Linked DNA regions of Callithrix jacchus. The protein of the gene in region 3 binds, or shares a complex with, the protein of the main gene of each other region. Links are inferred from orthologs where the notes say so. Each region holds a gene or a part of one and is shown on either strand. Other genes may lie near its edges.

Evidence for each region. The genes of interacting proteins can lie anywhere in the genome.
Region 1: NUP98 (region 3) and CETN2 share a complex: the UniProt entries of both Homo sapiens proteins name them as parts of the nuclear pore complex. The link is inferred for Callithrix jacchus from reciprocal best matches to the Homo sapiens genes NUP98 and CETN2.
Region 2: NUP98 (region 3) and NUP107 share a complex: the UniProt entries of both Homo sapiens proteins name them as parts of the nuclear pore complex. The link is inferred for Callithrix jacchus from reciprocal best matches to the Homo sapiens genes NUP98 and NUP107.

Annotation. Positions count from the first base shown.
Region 1 is NC_133524.1:148,959,284-148,965,094, forward strand, and holds CETN2 (centrin-2), read right to left. Parts: upstream 3,598-5,811; 5' UTR 3,551-3,597; coding exon 3,548-3,550; exon of another isoform or gene 3,412-3,547; intron 2,657-3,411; coding exon 2,498-2,656; intron 2,178-2,497; coding exon 2,049-2,177; intron 1,644-2,048; coding exon 1,506-1,643; intron 941-1,505; coding exon 851-940; 3' UTR 373-850; downstream 1-372. UniProt on the Homo sapiens protein: Plays a fundamental role in microtubule organizing center structure and function. Required for centriole duplication and correct spindle formation. Has a role in regulating cytokinesis and genome stability via cooperation with CALM1 and CCP110.
Region 2 is NC_133510.1:50,460,934-50,466,691, reverse strand, and holds the start of NUP107 (nuclear pore complex protein Nup107), read left to right. Parts: upstream 1-2,161; 5' UTR 2,162-2,228; coding exon 2,229-2,254; exon of another isoform or gene 2,255-2,841; intron 2,842-4,108; coding exon 4,109-4,200; intron 4,201-4,687; coding exon 4,688-4,774; intron 4,775-5,725; coding exon 5,726-5,758. UniProt on the Homo sapiens protein: Plays a role in the nuclear pore complex (NPC) assembly and/or maintenance. Required for the assembly of peripheral proteins into the NPC. May anchor NUP62 to the NPC. Involved in nephrogenesis.
Region 3 is NC_133511.1:69,111,464-69,116,556, forward strand, and holds part of NUP98 (nuclear pore complex protein Nup98-Nup96), read right to left. Parts: intron 2,480-5,093; coding exon 2,325-2,479; intron 1-2,324. UniProt on the Homo sapiens protein: Plays a role in the nuclear pore complex (NPC) assembly and/or maintenance. NUP98 and NUP96 are involved in the bidirectional transport across the NPC. May anchor NUP153 and TPR to the NPC.

The sequences.
Region 1 (5,811 bases), on a different chromosome or scaffold from region 3:
AGAGTCTGCGAGATACCCTAAGCACGTAGATTCATGACAGGTTGGCTGAATCCATCCTAGTGTTGGATTAGCCTGGCTCTCCCCATTTCATTCAAGCACAAATTACTAACAAGACTCTTTTCCAGTCTTGCACTTTGCCAAAACTATTTTTAGAGCATCATTTAGGTTTACATGACATAAAAATTCTGCTAGTTTTACAAACCAGCAGGTTCCCAAGGCAAAAAGCAATTCATGCCAGGAGAGTAGCAAAGGAGTATTCATTTTCTGTCCACAGGCTGGTAAGGAGTTTTGTATAAAACAGGCTGCCTTCAACACAATAGTTGAGAAGATGAACTCACAAAGCTAAAAAACTCATCTCTAGAGAACACAAGGTCAAACTGAGAAAGGTTTTATTTTTAAGTTAAAACAAATAGCATTAACACACATCCAAATGCCAGTGCGAGAGTTCACTGGGTTGTATAAAGAGAAAACTGGAACCACTGAAAAATGACTGCTGCGTATGGTGACACAGGTACCACATGTGCTTGTCTAAGAAGTCGTTCTGTGTTTGTGGATATGTGGAAACGATGCAAGGCAAAATGGCAGGTGCTCGAAGCCTTAAGATCCTTTTCTTCACGCTAATGTGCTCTTGTTTTGCTTTTGAGAATTAGAATAATTAGCAGGTCATTTTACAAAGAACTGTCATATAAAAGAACACTTCCAAAAGGCTAAAATAGGTTCAAGGTCATTATTAAAGTGATACAGGGAGGTCAGTGAGGGAAACATTTGTGTTCTCAAAAGCCAGATTTCACACAATTGCAGGCACTAAATCTAGTTACATGTGCTTGCAGTAGAAAAGAAGACACTGATCTCAATAAAGGCTGGTCTTTTTCATGATGCGCAGGAACTCTTGCTCACTGACCTCTCCATCTCCATCTCGATCAGCTTCATCAATCATTTCCTATATGACAGTAAATATTCAGGTTAGCTTAATTTATAAACTAATTCAAAAAGGTGATTAAGGAATAGACTTTTTTTACAGTCAGGGTCTCTATGCTGCCCACACTAGTGCCAAATTCCTGGCTTCAAGTGATCCTCCTAACTCAGCCTCCCAAAGTACTGGGATTATAGGCATGAGCCACTGTGCCTGGGAAGCAATAGACTTTAATAAAGCTATGTGAAAAGATCATCGTAGTCCACCCAATGCCAGTATGCTACTCCTGATAATAGCCTGGTTCCTGAATAGTTATTTGAAAACCAAGTCATATTTTGTGAAACATATCACCTGGGAGGGAGCTTGAAGACTGCCTTGACTAGAGGGATTCCTGGAACCCAAAATAGTAAGTAAGATTGTGCACCTGTGCATTTTTCTAGAAGCAGGGCTCATAGGTTTGTCTGACTATTAAAGGGACAAGAGTCCACTGGCTTTCCTTCAAAGAGATGCTCACACGAGGAAAAATGTAACAGAAAAGGCACAGAAGGCTGAAAGGTGGGAATCTGAAGTTCCAGTGTGAGGCATTACAAACCTGCAGCTCCTCATCAGTCAGGTTCTCACCCAACTCCTTGGCCACGCGTTTCAGATTTTTGAACGAAATCTTCCCAGTTTCATCATCATCGAAGAGCTTGAAAGCTTTCAGGATTTCTTCTTTGGTATCTTTCTCAGACTTAACAAGTAGAACATAAAACACATGAGTAGGGAGACACCACGGTTACTTGTGTCCTGTAGCCCTGCCGCTGCCCAGTCACCCTCTCCTTTTTAACAATAACTCGAGTCTAGACTTGCAGCCAGTGTCAGGAAGCCCATTTTGGCCTCAGAGAAACACCAGGCAAGCCAGGCACTCCATCCAAGGTGACATTTGCTCCCTATCCCACATCTGTTTCTTAACTGGTTTGGAATTCTGTGGGATGAGGTATCTGCTTGGAAGTCTTGAGAGAGAAGCACAAGGTAACATGACGGGAGGGCAGGCCTGAACTGCTGTGTGCTCACATGACTGTTTTAACAGGCAGATGCCATGGGCCTCTGCAGATGACTGGGGCTCTGTACCATGCCAATTGTCTTAACTACTTACCATTTTCTGGGTCATCACAGTTAAAAAGTCACCAAAGTTCATTTTTCCTGTCCCTTCCTTATCAATTTCACTTATCATTTTCTTAATTTCTTCTTTCTTGGGTTCAAAGCCCAGGGCCCTCATTGCCACCTACAATGAAAACAGGATTGTCTCAATATACACATCTAAACTATAAGAAGCAAAAATAACAGTGTTGAGAGCATTAAGTCCGTATCTGATGTGATCATGTTAATATGATTCGGGAACACTTTAACACAGATCTAATTGATATCTGCAATCCATCTGATAATACTCAAGGTAAGTAAAGACAGGAAAACAGAGCACAGTACAACCTCCCCTGTTACTTACTGCAGGGAGAAGAGGGCAAAAGGGGTAGAGAGGTGATAAAGAGATGACAAGGAAGAGGGAGAGGAAAGGCAGGGCAAACGGCAGGAATGCATAGAGCTTGCCTTAAGTTCCTTAACATCTATGCTGCCAGTTCCATCTGCATCAAAAAGATCAAACGCTTCCCGGATCTCCTGCTTCTGCTCTTCTGTAAGCTCAGGCTTAGGACTCATTCTTTTTCGCTGGGCACTTGACGCCATGTTTGCCTTCTTAAAGCTGGAGGCCTTTATATGTTATGCAAATACATAAGCACAATAATATATAATACAGTCCATATTTACATAACATAGTTACAGACACCTATATGTATTTTTAAAGTCATTTATAACCAATTCCAAAGCTTTGCTTAACAAGAAATATCACAGGGTTTACTATTGTTTCTAGATGCAGGGAGATCATTTGTTCAGTAAGGATATCTCTTATTGAAAATCATCCCAAAAGAGAGCTAGTCAAGAAACTGACTGTGAACAACTAGAGATAATCAGCTCTTCCCGAATGTGGGGAACCTGGTTCTGGAAACAGCCTTAAAATGCCCACTGCCAGTACTCCGCTTCCTAGTAAGTACTCTGACTTCCCAATTACTTCTAGATTTGCCCAAATATTAGGAAGTTAAGATGTATATCGTGTCAGTATCTAATAATAAAACTCAATCCATCTGGCACCTTCGTGCCTTCTCCAAGAAGCTAAAGCATCCCCTTAATGCCCCTATATTTATATTGTAGAAAACATTTTCAAAGAAAACAATACACCTTCTCCCAGTTCTGTGGGGAAACTTTGGCAGAATGAGGCGGCCAGGAGGCCAAGGTCTGAGAGAGTCAGGGGTCTGTGAGGGATTCGAGTCTTTTTTGCCCAGGGAGGGTCACCGAGGGGACCAGGGAACGCCAGGGGAGCCTGAGGGGCGGGTGTGGGCCTGTCGTGGGTGAAGGGGAGGCAGTAGCGAAGCGCAGGCCCAGTAGGTTGGTTAGCGCCTGTACCCTACCCTTCCGGGAAAGAGCTCAAAGGAAGGACTGTACGCCAAAGCCGAGAAAGGCGCAGGAGAGGCGGCGTGGCACAGCCGGGGCTTGGGAAGGGCTCAACCTCTGGGCGTGGGGCGCGACGGAGCGGCCAGCACTCACCATAGCCAAAGGACTCCGCTGCCGGTTGTTAGGCAACCGCAGTATACACTGACTCGGCCCCGTTCCCACCGCCCCCTGCGCGCAGCCCCGCTCTCCATTGGCCGTCTTCTGGCCCTCGCCGCTCTCCATTGGTTCAGGGCCGAAGTGGGTGGAATTAACCTGGCAAAGCCCTGGACCAGCGCGGGGAGGGGCACGCTGGCGACACAGGCCAGTCATAACTGGGCAAGATCACGCCGCGAGCGCCAATTGGCTTAGCCAACGCTGAGCTGGGCCAATCCTCTTGGTGGAGGAAGCTCGGCTGATTCTCGTCTCACGCGGGAGGGTAGTAAAGGGTGGCGGTCTGAGGCTAGAGTTCGGTGGGTGCAGCCTGCTTGCGAGCTGAGGCCAGCCAGGGGGGCGCCTACAGACGGGTAAGAGTCGTGGTCTTGCCCTTGGAAGTCACCTTGTGTCAGCGACTGGGCAGGGCGGGAGAGTGAAGAGCTGCGGGGCCTCCCGGGTCGGGTGCTTTCTGGGCTGACCTCAGGCTGAGTTAGGGACCGAGTGCATCAGAGCCCCCAGATGCTACTGACCTTGCGTGTTGGAGCAGGGGCTGTACTCACGGGGCAGCTGAGACCCAGAGAGGGGAAGGGGTGTGCTGAGCGTCGTTGCAGAGGTCGGACTGCTGGTACCTAGGAACTGAATCCAGCCGAGGTTCGCTCTTTGAGGGTGGCCCTTCGAGAGCACTCCCAGACTGCCCCAGAAGTATAGGCCCCAGATCAGGTTCCAAGAGGGGATCACTTTAGGTCTCACGTGGCTAAAAGCAGCCCAGGACGGTGAACTGGGGGCTTTGGGAACGGACTTTGAAAGGAGTGAGGGGGATGTGAGCGAGCATGAGGGGCCGGGAGAGGTCATCAAAATATACTCTTTTTGACACCCACTCAAGACAGATAAGGAGGAGCATTCCAGGCCGAGATGCCCTCATAAGCAAAGTCCCAAGAGTTTTGGAAGTTACTGGTATGCTTGGAGAATTCAAAGGGAGCATGTGCAAGGGCTGTGGACTGAGATAGACCTGCAGAAAGGGAGCTGGAGGTCCAATTTGCCCACTTTCGCTATTCCCGTGGCTTTCGGCCTTCACCTGTCTTTCCTCCAGGCATTGGGGCAGTAATCTAGGGAGGCAGAGGGCAGAGAGTAAGTTTCTCAGGCAGAGAAAGGCCCGAGGCTTATTAGAACCTTTTAAATGGAGCTTCTGCCCTTTGCCCTCTTCCTTCTTCAGCAGTGAACAGATTCATCATCAGCCTCCCAAGTAGTCCGAGCCAGAGTTCTCACCATGCCCTCTGCAAAGCCTATTACTCTTCTCTCCTCAGGCTCACTCCAGCCCCACAATACTGGCTTTGTCGTTGAACCTCATGTGCCAGCCACACTCCTGCCTCTCATTTTTGTCCCAGTTGTTCCCTCTGCCTGCCTCCTCTTAAGCAGTCCCCGGTACAAACAAGCCACTCACCTTGCTCTACTTTTTTTCCAATAGTACTTACCACCTTCTGACCTACTGTATATTTTGCTTATTTATTTTGTTCTCTGTTCTCCCTCCACTAGAAAGCAGGCTGTCTGAGGGCAGGCATCTTTGTGGTATTCACTACTGGTACTCCAGGATCTGGAACAGAGAGGGGAACATATCAGGTGCTCAGTAAATCTTGGTCAGACAACAGATGAGTAGTCTCCTGTTTCCTACCTCTCACCTATCTAGTCCCCCCTGCTCTGCCAGGCTCATCTTCATAGTAAACAGCTCTGGTCAGGGCAGCTCCCAGCTCTTAAACCTTCAGAGCCTGTACTGTAAAGGGCTCCTTAGCCTGGCATGTGATCCCTCTGCCCAGTTTTGCCCCTGCTAACCCTTCTAGCTTAATGTCCCTCCACACCTTGCTTCCCCATCCATCAGCCTGCAGATTGGAAGCCTGACAGTACAAGGGACAAACAAGTTCTGCCCAGGTTGTGTGCAGCCTGTGTGACCTTGGACAAGTTGCTTAACCTCTCTGAGTCTGCTTCTCATTTGTCGAGTGAGACCAGTACTGTCTGCCTGATGGGATACTTTCAAACCTCAATGTGATATGTAAAGTGGCCTGATGTTGAGCAGGTCTTCAGGCAGTATTACAGTTGACCCCTGAACAGCATGGGTTTCAACCTTGTGGGTCTGCCTACAGGCAGATTTTCTCTCATCTCTGCCACCCCTGAGCAGCAAGATCAACTCCTCGTCTTCCTTCTCAGCCTACTCAGCATGAAGACCATTCACT
Region 2 (5,758 bases), on a different chromosome or scaffold from region 3:
TGCCCCAAACTGCTCTTCTTTCTTATTGTGTGCTTCATGGTCAACCACCTCAAGTACACTTCAGTTATATTACATGAATAAAACTCACTGGAATTCAATTGCTGAGGGACATGGAGCAAGAACCTGAACCACAGATAACACTTTGAATTAACTTGCCCCAGCACTGACAAAAATCATTAGCACCACATTTTGCTTTCTATAAGAACAAGCGTACTTTTTGTACAGGAAAATTAGGAGGTTGGGAGAATGAGACCACACCAGGGCATAATTCTTCAAAAAGGTTATTGAAGGAGTAAAGTAACATTTCGATGACCTGCTATGTACAGTGTATATTTGATGTCTCTCTCTCATGCCCACTCCCCTACTTTTTAAAAAATATTTGTGATGGTGCAGTGGTTCACGCCTGTAATTCCAGCACTTTGGGAGACCAAGGCAGGTGGATCACATGATGTCAGGAGTTTGAGACCAGCCTGATCCATATGGAGAAACCCCATCTCTACTAAAAATGCAAAAAATTAGCCCGGCATGGTGGTGCATTCCAGTAATCCCAGTTATTTAAGAAGCTGAAGCAGAATTGTTTAAACCTGGGAGGCAGAGGTTGCAGTGAGCCAATCTCATGTCACTGCACTCCATCCTGGGTGATAAAGCGAGACCCTGCCTCAAAAAAAAAAAAAAAAAATATATATATATATATATATATATATTGCAGAAACAGGGTCTCATGTTGTTGCCCAGGCTGGTCTCAAACTCTTGGGCCCAAGCCATCCCTCCCACCTGGACCTCCCAAAGTGCTGGGATTACAGGGGTAGCCACCGCACCCGACAGTGCTTAGCTTTTTCATAGATGTAGCTTTTTCCTTGCTTGCAGACTTCGCAGTGAGCCGAGATCACGCCACGGCCCTCCAGCCTGGACTAGAGCGAGACATAATCTCAAAAAGAAAAGAAAAAAAAGCTCAGCACTGTCACCAGGAATATATGGCAAGAAAAGCTGGCAATTTCTACATATCTGTGAAACCCAAAATGTCATTTGCAATAAGGATCAAATGTATCAATAGTGTAAGCCCAAAAGTCTGTGGCAACTTCTTCACTTTCCCCAGATTGTCAATGGCACCTTTGTTAAACTCAACAAGGTTTCGGTTAACAATGTTGAGGATTGCAGAACCACCTATTGCATGGGGCACCTGAACCTGAAATCAACAAATAAACTGATATACCTACTGGTTATAGTAAAACCAATAAACAAATTACCTTAACAGAGATAACTCTTTAATTGCTAGATCTCTTGATAAATATGGCATCATCTGACTGGAGAATCTGATTCGAGAGCTCTATGTTGTTGAAAAATTCTTCAAGTTCCCGTGATCCTTCAAATTATCTTCTCCACGAGGTAGAATGAAGGACTACCTATTTTGTATTAATGAAAGGTATAAATGCCAGCAACAGAAAAGACCATATCAACAGGCTTATTAAATGGATAAACTGAGGTGTCTAATATTATTTTTGTAATCTTATCAGTTAATAACCAGTCACTACTTTCAAATATGAAAAAAAACAAAAATGTGACTCCTTCAAGACCAAAATATAACCACTATTTGCCTACACGGCACTTTGAATAGAGGGCAATACCATCATATTTTACGCTTGCCTTTCTACTTTTTAATACGGGTGAACTTTTTTTCCTCCATAGCAAAAAATACCAAGTAAAGAACAAATAGCAGTTATGGAAAATACTTTCAAAAACTGTATGAAGCTACAGCACAAAGGACTGAGCGTAGGGAGAGAAACAGAAATTTCTCGAGGCAGAGCCCACATATCTGAATTCCAACAACAGGCGCTTTCTGAGAGAATACCAGGTAATGACTTCACATTTTTCCAGACTATCAACATAATTCGTTTTTCCCAGTAGGAGAACCCAACGCCTGTTCCACGCCCACAGACATCGGTCAGGCAAAGCGGCCGCAACGCTTCCGGGCTAAACGCGACTAGGTCCCGCCCCCGGTCCTGTCTGGTCCAGCCAGGCACAAGTTGGCAAACTTTGCGCCTGCGCCCACCGGGCTAGCTCATGTAGGCTCAAGTCGCGCATGCGCTAGGTGGGAACGTTGTTTCTTCTCCCCTGCGCTTTTTCTGTGGGGCTGTTTTAGGGAGAGTGCTTCCAGGTCGAAAGGCTTGCTTCCGGAGAGCGGGAAGGCTAAAACGCGGTAACTAAACTGGAGCCAACCTTGGTTCTGTATGGAAAAGGCTTTAGCCATGGACAGGTCAGTTCTGATCGTGGGAGCTGAGCCCGAAGTCTTGTCCCTCTCGCCTGCTGGCGAAACGAAATAGGTGAAACTAGACTCCCAGAAAAAGCCAAGGAGGAGGTCCCGGGTGCTTCCCCTAAGACTCCTTCCCCAGGCCAGGAAATTTGGCTACAAATGCGGAAAAGGTCGCTTGGCTTGCGTCGGGGTGGGATACGGATTATGATGGTTCCCTACATTCTCACTGTGTTCTGCGATCTATTCGGCGCTTTGGGGCAGCAACACTATTCTTTCCTGAGGTGGGCGGGGTAGGTAGCCCGGCGTTCTACATGCTGAGTGACCAGCCTGAGATCACAAAGCCAGTCAATGAAGATACTGGGATCTCAGCCCAGACTTTCTGATCACAAGTGCCAGCATCAAATACTGGGTTCCTTCTATAATCTGGGTATTATGCTAGCCGGCTGCAACAAAGATCAGTTATTCAAGATCCTTCACCTCGGGGAATTGGTTGTGTAGTGGAGACAACCAAGCATATAAAGTGATAAGTGTTTTGGAACGATTAAGTCTCCCTGTCACTATATAACTATCAGGAAGACCTCTCGAAGAAGGTAACTTTCTAGTTGGTGTTTGAGTAATAATAGTACATTATTGGTACTCCAAACCTTGAGTACTGCTATGTGACTGCATTGTTCCAAAGGATTTGAATATATATTATTAGCTTGTTTAATCTTCAGAACAAGAAAAATTCTATGAAAATATGTGCTGTTATCCTTTTTTCATAGATACCACTGAGACTAAAAGAGGTTAAGGAACTTGCTGAAAGTTAGAAGGCTAGTAGTAAATACAAGGACCAAATTCCCAACCTGCATCTGTGTGTCTCCAGGCTACCTGGGGCTCTTTGAGGAGTAAGTAGTTGTTGACCAGGTGCTCAAGGGAGCCACTGTAGGTCGTTTTAAAAGAAACTTATTCAAAGGTGTTAGGATATAGAAAAAAGTACGTGCTTTGTCGGCAGTCACATGCAGAATATGTTTAAAGCGATATTTGTGGCTGAATATAAGACTGAACCTCTAAACTGGGGTCACATTGTAAATAGCTTTTTAGGGAATTTGTACTTCTATAGACTAGAGAGAGATATCTGAAGTTTTTTTTGTTGTTGTTTTTTAATTAAACCTTTTAAATTTTGTTTTGGTTATTGTTTTCCATACTTTCTTGCTGAAGGAATATCTGAAGGTTTTAAGTGGAGGAAAAGCATATCAGATTCTTGCCTTAAACATAGGCCTTTTCATCCACACAATTTCGTTTCTAGACCTTTGAGTGAAAATGACAGGGAGTGATGTGATGGGACAGGAGACATCCTGGGTTGAAATAATTTGAAGGATCATTCTGCTCCATTTACCAGAATTCTTTTATTTACCCTCTTATCTCACAAGCTCTGTTTTGTGTTGTTGTTTGTTTTTCAGTGGTACCTGTGTTTTAAAGCATTTTGGAGACTGCAGAAAATCTTTTAAGAGAGAATTCCTGTAATTAGATAACTCCTCAATCCAACAAGGGAAATGAGATTGACTTTTATGAAGCAGTTATCTAAAACAGTGTTATAGATTCCAAGTGTTGAAATAATTCCTTAGGAGAAAATAACATAGTGAGTACTAGAAAGTCAGAGAAGTCTTTGTGCAGGTAAGATTTGAGTAAGGCTTTGAAGAATAAGCAGGATTTGGAGCCAGGAGTGCATTCTCAGCAAAAGATCTAAGACTTGGCTATTGGAATGACCTATACCACAACTTACTCAGAGCCCTTTACTCCAGCTGTGATGATAAAATTCTTTTACAAATACTACATTCTCATTTCACTTATGTAAGCTTGATTATACTACTTTAGGAGTGGCTTTGGAGATATATCATCCCCTGTTATCCGGGAGGCAGAGGTGACACGGACTGCACGGAAACAGAGTGCTCAAAAAAGAGTTTTAAGTATCCTTTGCGATTTAAGCATCATTATAAAAATTGTAACATGCTTGGAATCGGTGTTGTAGAATTTTCTTTTATGAGAGTATTAAATGTTAGCTGTAATAAAATCCTGTAGAAATTTTTTTTCACTCTGCGGAACTGTCATTTGGTAAATATAATGCTAAAATTTAATGAGATTATGTTTCCCTAAGAATAAAGATATTTCATTTTACTACTGACTATCATATTGTGGTTAGCTTCTGCTGAAATTAGATTTTTTTATTATTTGAAAACTGACTAAAAACATTTAGTTCAGTAGTTATCTAAGACTGACATCTGAGAATTTAAATGGCAGAAGGAATCATTTACCCTTTGCATAGAAAAATAGTAGCCATAAAATACCTTATTCTTGGTAAATGTATTCACATAATTTGTATAGTAAAAATATTGTTAGTTCTCACTTTAATGATCTCTTTTCTACGTGGAAAACTTTTCTTAACTCATTGTACAGTTCAGTCATCTCAAGATGAAAATTTTGGTAATACTACACCAAGAAACCAGGTTATTCCTCGAACTCCTAGCTCATTTCGACAGCCTTGTAAGACTTTTTTGCTTTTAAAGCACTTAATAATAATGATAATTATAATAGCAGCTAACATTTATTGTAGAACAATTAGTATTTGGTTACTATATCAATAATTAAGCACAAATAATAATGATTGCAGTTATTTGTTGAACTCTTGCCATGTACAAAGTACTGTATTTTACATAAACACACAGTAACTATGACATAGGTATTGTTAATTCTATTTTACCAAAACTGAAAGCAAGACTTAGAGAAGTTATAATATAGGCAATAAGTATGTAAATAAGCTGGATACAGTGGCTCACGCCTGTAATCTCAACACTTTGGGAGGCTGAGGTGGGCAGATCACTTGAGGCTAGGAGTTCGAGATCAGCTTGGCCAACATGGTGAAACTCCATCTCTACTAAGAATACAAAAATTAGCTGGCGTAGTGGGTCATGCTTGTAATCCCAGCTACTCAGGAGGCTGAGGCAGGAGAATTGCCTGAACCAAGGAGGTAGAGGTTGCAGTGAGCTGCGATTGTGCCACTGTACTCCAGCCAGGGCGAAAGAGTAAGACTCTGTAAAGTATGTAAATAATGGAATTGGGATTCAAACAATGATCTGTTTACTCCAAAGTTTATGCCCACTGCAATTCACTGCCTCGGTAAGCCTTATAAAATTAAAACATGAAGAGTCCATTGACTCATTAGTGTTTTTAACTGCTCAGTTATGCTATAATGAAAGCATCCATAATTGCAGTAAGATTTTTCCTGATAGGCTCAGTAGTACCTAGAACTCAAATTTAGAAAAATAACTTAAATCCTTGTATTGTGAAAATGTTAACATTTAAAGTATTTATCTGGTTAGAGTCTAAATGATGGAAAACGGAAAAATTTATTTTTCCTTGTTTGTTTGCTTACTTTGTTTTGATAATGAATGCTCATGCACCTTAAGTTTTTTTCTACCAACCTTTTGTTTGTAGTTACCCCAGCATACCGAAGCTTACTAAGACAGC
Region 3 (5,093 bases):
GAAGAGAAGTAGAATAAGATAATACTAGAGAGGTTTTATGTAACAAGATATCTTTTTTTTATTTTTTGGAGAAGGGAGGTCTCACTATGCTGTACGGGCTGGTCTCAAGCAATCCTACCTCAGCCTCCCAAAGTGCTAGTATTACAGGCATGCACCACCACATCCAGCTATGCGCTGGCATACTGACAGTACTCTTTGTTTAATGCTACACTTATCATGCTACAGTAATTGTTGCTTTACTTGTATCTCCCCCACCAAATCTTCACGTTGGTAAGGGCAGAACACATACTGTTTACTTTTACATTCCCCAAACCCACTAGAGTGCCTGGCACAGTGGGTTCTCAGTAATAGGTTGTGTGAATGAATCATTCAATATTCAATGAGAAAGTGGTTTCTTCAAGTGATTATTCAGAAATGATGCTCTTAATTCATACTAAAAGTACAGCAAACATTGAATTATGCCCATTATGTGCCAGGCACTATACTAGGAGTTGAAACTTTGATGAGGATAATAATAAATAACAATTATCAAGCATTTAGTAGAGGCCAAGGTGGGTGGATCATTTGAGGTCAGGAGTTTGAGACCACTCTGGCCAACATGGTGAAACCCCGTCTCTACTAAAAATAAAAATTAGTTGGGTGTGGTGGCACACACCTGTAATCCCAGCTACTGGGGAGGCTGAGGCAGGAGAATTGTTTGAAGCTGGGAGATGGAAAATGGAAGATGCAGTCAGCTGAGATTATGCCACTGCACTCCAACCTGGGTGACAGAGCAAAACTCTGCCTTAAAAAAAAAAAAAAGGTATTTAGTACATGAAAGGCACTATGCTAAACACTTTGAGTATATTTTGTTTAACCTTTGTGAAAATCTATCAGATATGAGCTATAATCTGTACCACTGTCTACCCCACCCACTTTTTTCTTTCAGACGAGACAAAGGGGGTGGTTAACTTGCACAAGATTGCACAGCCAGTGAATTTGGAAGCCATGAATTGAAATTATGAGTCTAATTCTAGAACTTGAGCTGTTAATTCCTATACTTTACTGCCTCTAACCTTAAAAGATTTCTCCATAAGGGGCTTATGGCAACCTGGAAATGTGAACAAGTAACTACAACATGGTCTGACGGTAGAAAAATGCACTAAGTATCTTGGTAGTAAGAAAGTGCAATTAATTATCTCTGGGGGAAAAGGAGGGAGAAGTAGGGCTAACAGCAACCTAGATGTTAAAGGATGGGTTTAAGTGTGCTAGGTAAAGTGTGGAACATAATATGGTTTGTTAGAAACACCAGAAGTAATTTAGTGTGAGTACAGCAGGGCAGCAAGGCTGGAATGTGAAATGAGTGGTAGGAGTAAGGCTGGAAAGGTAAAGGCCTCAAAAAGGACTTAAATCCTATATTTATTAAAATGAGTTTGGTTTTTGTACCATAAGCAAGCGGTGGAGACCCATTTTATGACTACAAAGACTGACCTTAAGGCTGGGTGCAGTAGCTCATGCATACACCCAGCACTTTGGGAGGCCAAGGCGGGCTGATGATTTGAGGCCAGGAGTTCAAGACCAGCTTGGCCAATGTGGTAAAACACTGTTTCTACTAAAAATACAAAAATTAGCTGGGTGTGGTGGCACACCACTATAGTCCCAGCTACTTGGGAGGCTGAGGCGTAAGAATCACTTAAGCCTGGGTGACAGAGCAAGACTCTGTTTCAATAAAAAAAAAAACAACAAAAAAAAACTGACCCAAGACATTTTAATAAAGACTTAACCATTTTGCAACTTTAAAACCTGCCAAATTAACTATTTTGCTATTTTAAAACATGCCAAATAATGTGTGAAACAATGATCCTCATCGAATCTTCATTCTTAATCTCTCATCTTTGGGTTTTTCACTCAAACTAGGGCTGAACAAGGGAAAGGGACTGTCTATGGACAAGCCTCAGGAATGTCTATTGCACATACTAGTTGTTAATAAACATAAAAAAGCGTTTTTAGGGCTGGGCACGGTGGCTCACACCTGTAATCCCAGAACTCTGGGAGGCCAAGGTGGGCAGATCATCTGAGGTTGGGAGTTAGAGACCAGCCTGACCAATATAGTGAAACCCCATCTTATATATTTAAAAAAAAAAAAAAAAAAAAGCATTTTTAAGTTTCAATACAGCTGTCAAAATGGTTATATCAAATGAGCCTCAGCAAGATGTCCTGCCTGCTTTTACAGTAATATGTCTGCCAATGCGTTCTCAAGTATATACTAAGGCCTTGTGAGGGCTCTAAAGATGGAAGGGCCTGAGAAAAGGAAAATCAGGCAGCAATTTCAGGATCTCAGGTACCTGCTGTATACGGTGGAGCATGTCAATGACTCTAATGTAGTCCAGGTAAACAAGTCCAGATGTTTCCCAATCCTGAATTAGGCTGCTGCGCTCTGGAGGTGCCAAGTCTTCCAAGAACCCCTTCAGGTAGTCATATTTCTCATTAATGATGGCATCTGAAGAAACAAAATATTGAGAACAATGTCTGCACAAGTGCACGGTTTCTAAAAGTACAGAAGACATGGCAGGAAGACAGAAAGCAAGGAGAAATAATGTTGGACTTCAGAATTAAAAGCGCATACAGGCATACCTCAGAGATACTGTGGGTTCCATTTCAGAACACCACGATAAAGCAAGTATCGTAATAAAGTCACATAAATTTTTTGATTGTTTGGTTATGTTTATAGTATACTTCTGTTGTCTATTAAGTGTGCAATGATAGCATTATGTCTAAAAACCAACATACATACCTTAATTAAAAAATATTTTATTGCTAAAAATGTTAACAATCACTTGAGCCTTCAGCATGCCATCTTTTTGCTGGTGGAGGGTCTTGCCTTGATGCTGATGGCTGCTGACTGATCAGGGTGTTGGTTGCTGAAGGATGGGATGGCTATGCTAATTTCTTAAAACAAGGTAACAGTGAAGTTTGCCATATCAATTGACTCTTCCTTTTATGAATGATTTCCCTTGTAGCACGGCATGCTGTTTGATTGCATTTTACCTACAGTGGAACTTCTTTAGAAACGGAAGTCAGTTCTCTCAAACCCAGCTGCTGCTTTATCAACTAGGCTTAAATAATATTCCAAATCCTTTGCTGGCATTTCAACAATGTTCACAGCATCTTCACCAGGAACAAATTCAATCTCAAGAAACCACTTTCTTTGCTTGTCTATATAAAGCAATTCCTCATGAGTGACACCAGTTCAGTCACATCTTCAGGGCCCACTTCTAGTTATCTTGCTGTTTCCATCACATCTGTGATATTTCTCCCACTAAAGTCTTGAACCTTTCAAAGTCATCCATGAGGGCCGGATTCAACGTCTTCCATACGCCTGTCATTTAATGTTGATATTTTGACATCCTTCCATGAATCACAAATGCTTTTTGTGTTTTTTAGTTGGAATCTCACTCTCATTCAGGCTGGAGTGCAGTGGTGCCATCTCAGCTCAATGCAACCTCTGCCTCTCAGGCTCAAGTGATCCTCCTTCCCACCTCAGCCTCCCAAATAGCTGAAACCACAGGTGTGTGCCACTATGCCCGGATAATTTTTTGTATTTTTGGTGGAGATGGGATTTCACCACGTTGCCCAACCTGGTCTCAAACTACTGAGCTCAAGTGATCTGCTCATCTTGGCCTCCCAAAGTGCTGGGATTATAGGCGTGAGCCACCATGCCTGGCCCCAAATATTCTTTTTTTTTTTCATTTCATTTTATTTATTTATTTTTAGGGGGCACCCGGATTTGAACCGAGGACCTCTTGATATGCAGTCAAATATTTTTGCTTTTAAGACAGAATCTCCCTCTATTACCCAGGCTGGAGTGCAGTGGTATGATCATGGCTCACTGCAGCCTCAACCTCCTGGGCTCAAGCAATACTCCTGCCTCAGCCTACTGAGTAGCTGAAATTACAGGCACATACCACCATGCCCGGCCAATTGCTAATGTTCATCTCCCCCAACCCACCCAGACAGCATCTCACTGTGTTGCCCAGGCAGGAATGCACTGGCATGATCATGGTTCACTGCAGCCTCAACCTCCCCAGGCTCAGGTGATCCTCTAATCTCAGCCTCATAAATAGCTGAGTATAATACAGGCATGTGCCACCACACTCAGCTAATATTTGTATTTTCTGCAGAAACTCGCCTTCACCATGTTGCCCAGGCTGGTCGCGAACTCCTGGGGCTCTAGCAATCTGCCTGCCTTGGCCTCCCAAAGTGCTGGGATTATAGGTATAAGCCACTGTACCCTGCCCACAAATACATCTACAATGGTGAATCCTTTCCAAAAGGTTTTCATTTACTTTCCCAGATCCATCAGAGAAATCGCTACCTATGGCAGCTATAGTCTTATGAAATGTATTTCTTAAATAATAAAGTCTAAAAGCTGAATTACTCCTTAACCCATGGGTTGCAGGGTGGATGTGTTAGCAGGCATGAAAACAGCATTAATCTCCTTGTACATCTCCATCAGAGCTCTTGACTGACTGGGTGTATCATTGACGAACAGTAATATTTTGAAAGATTTTTTTCTGAGCAGGTTTCAACAGCAGGCTTAAAGTATGCAGTAAACTGAGCTATAAGCAGAAGTGCTGTCATCCAGGCCTTGTTCCATTTACAGAACACAGGCAGAGTAGATTCAGCATAATTCTTAAGGGCCCTATGATTTTTAGAATGGTAAGTGAGCACTGGCTTCAACTTAAAAGTCACCAGCTGCATTAGCCCAAATCAGAGTCAGCTTGTCCTCTGAAGCTTTGAAGCCAGGCATTGACTTTTCTTCTCTAGCTATGAAAGTCCTAGGTGGCATCTTCTTTCAATAGAAGGCAGTTTCACCTACACTGAAAATCTGTTGTTTAGCGTAGACACCTTCATCAGTGATCTTAGCGATCTTCTGGATCATTTGCTGTGTAGCTTCTCCAACAGCACTTGCTGCTTCACCTTGCACTTTAATGTTATGGAAAGATAGTTTCCTGAACCAACTGCTGCTAGCTTCAGACTTCTCTTCTGCAGTTTCCTCACCTCTCTTAGCCTTCACAGAACTGAAGGGAGGTTAAGGCCTTGCTTTGGATTAG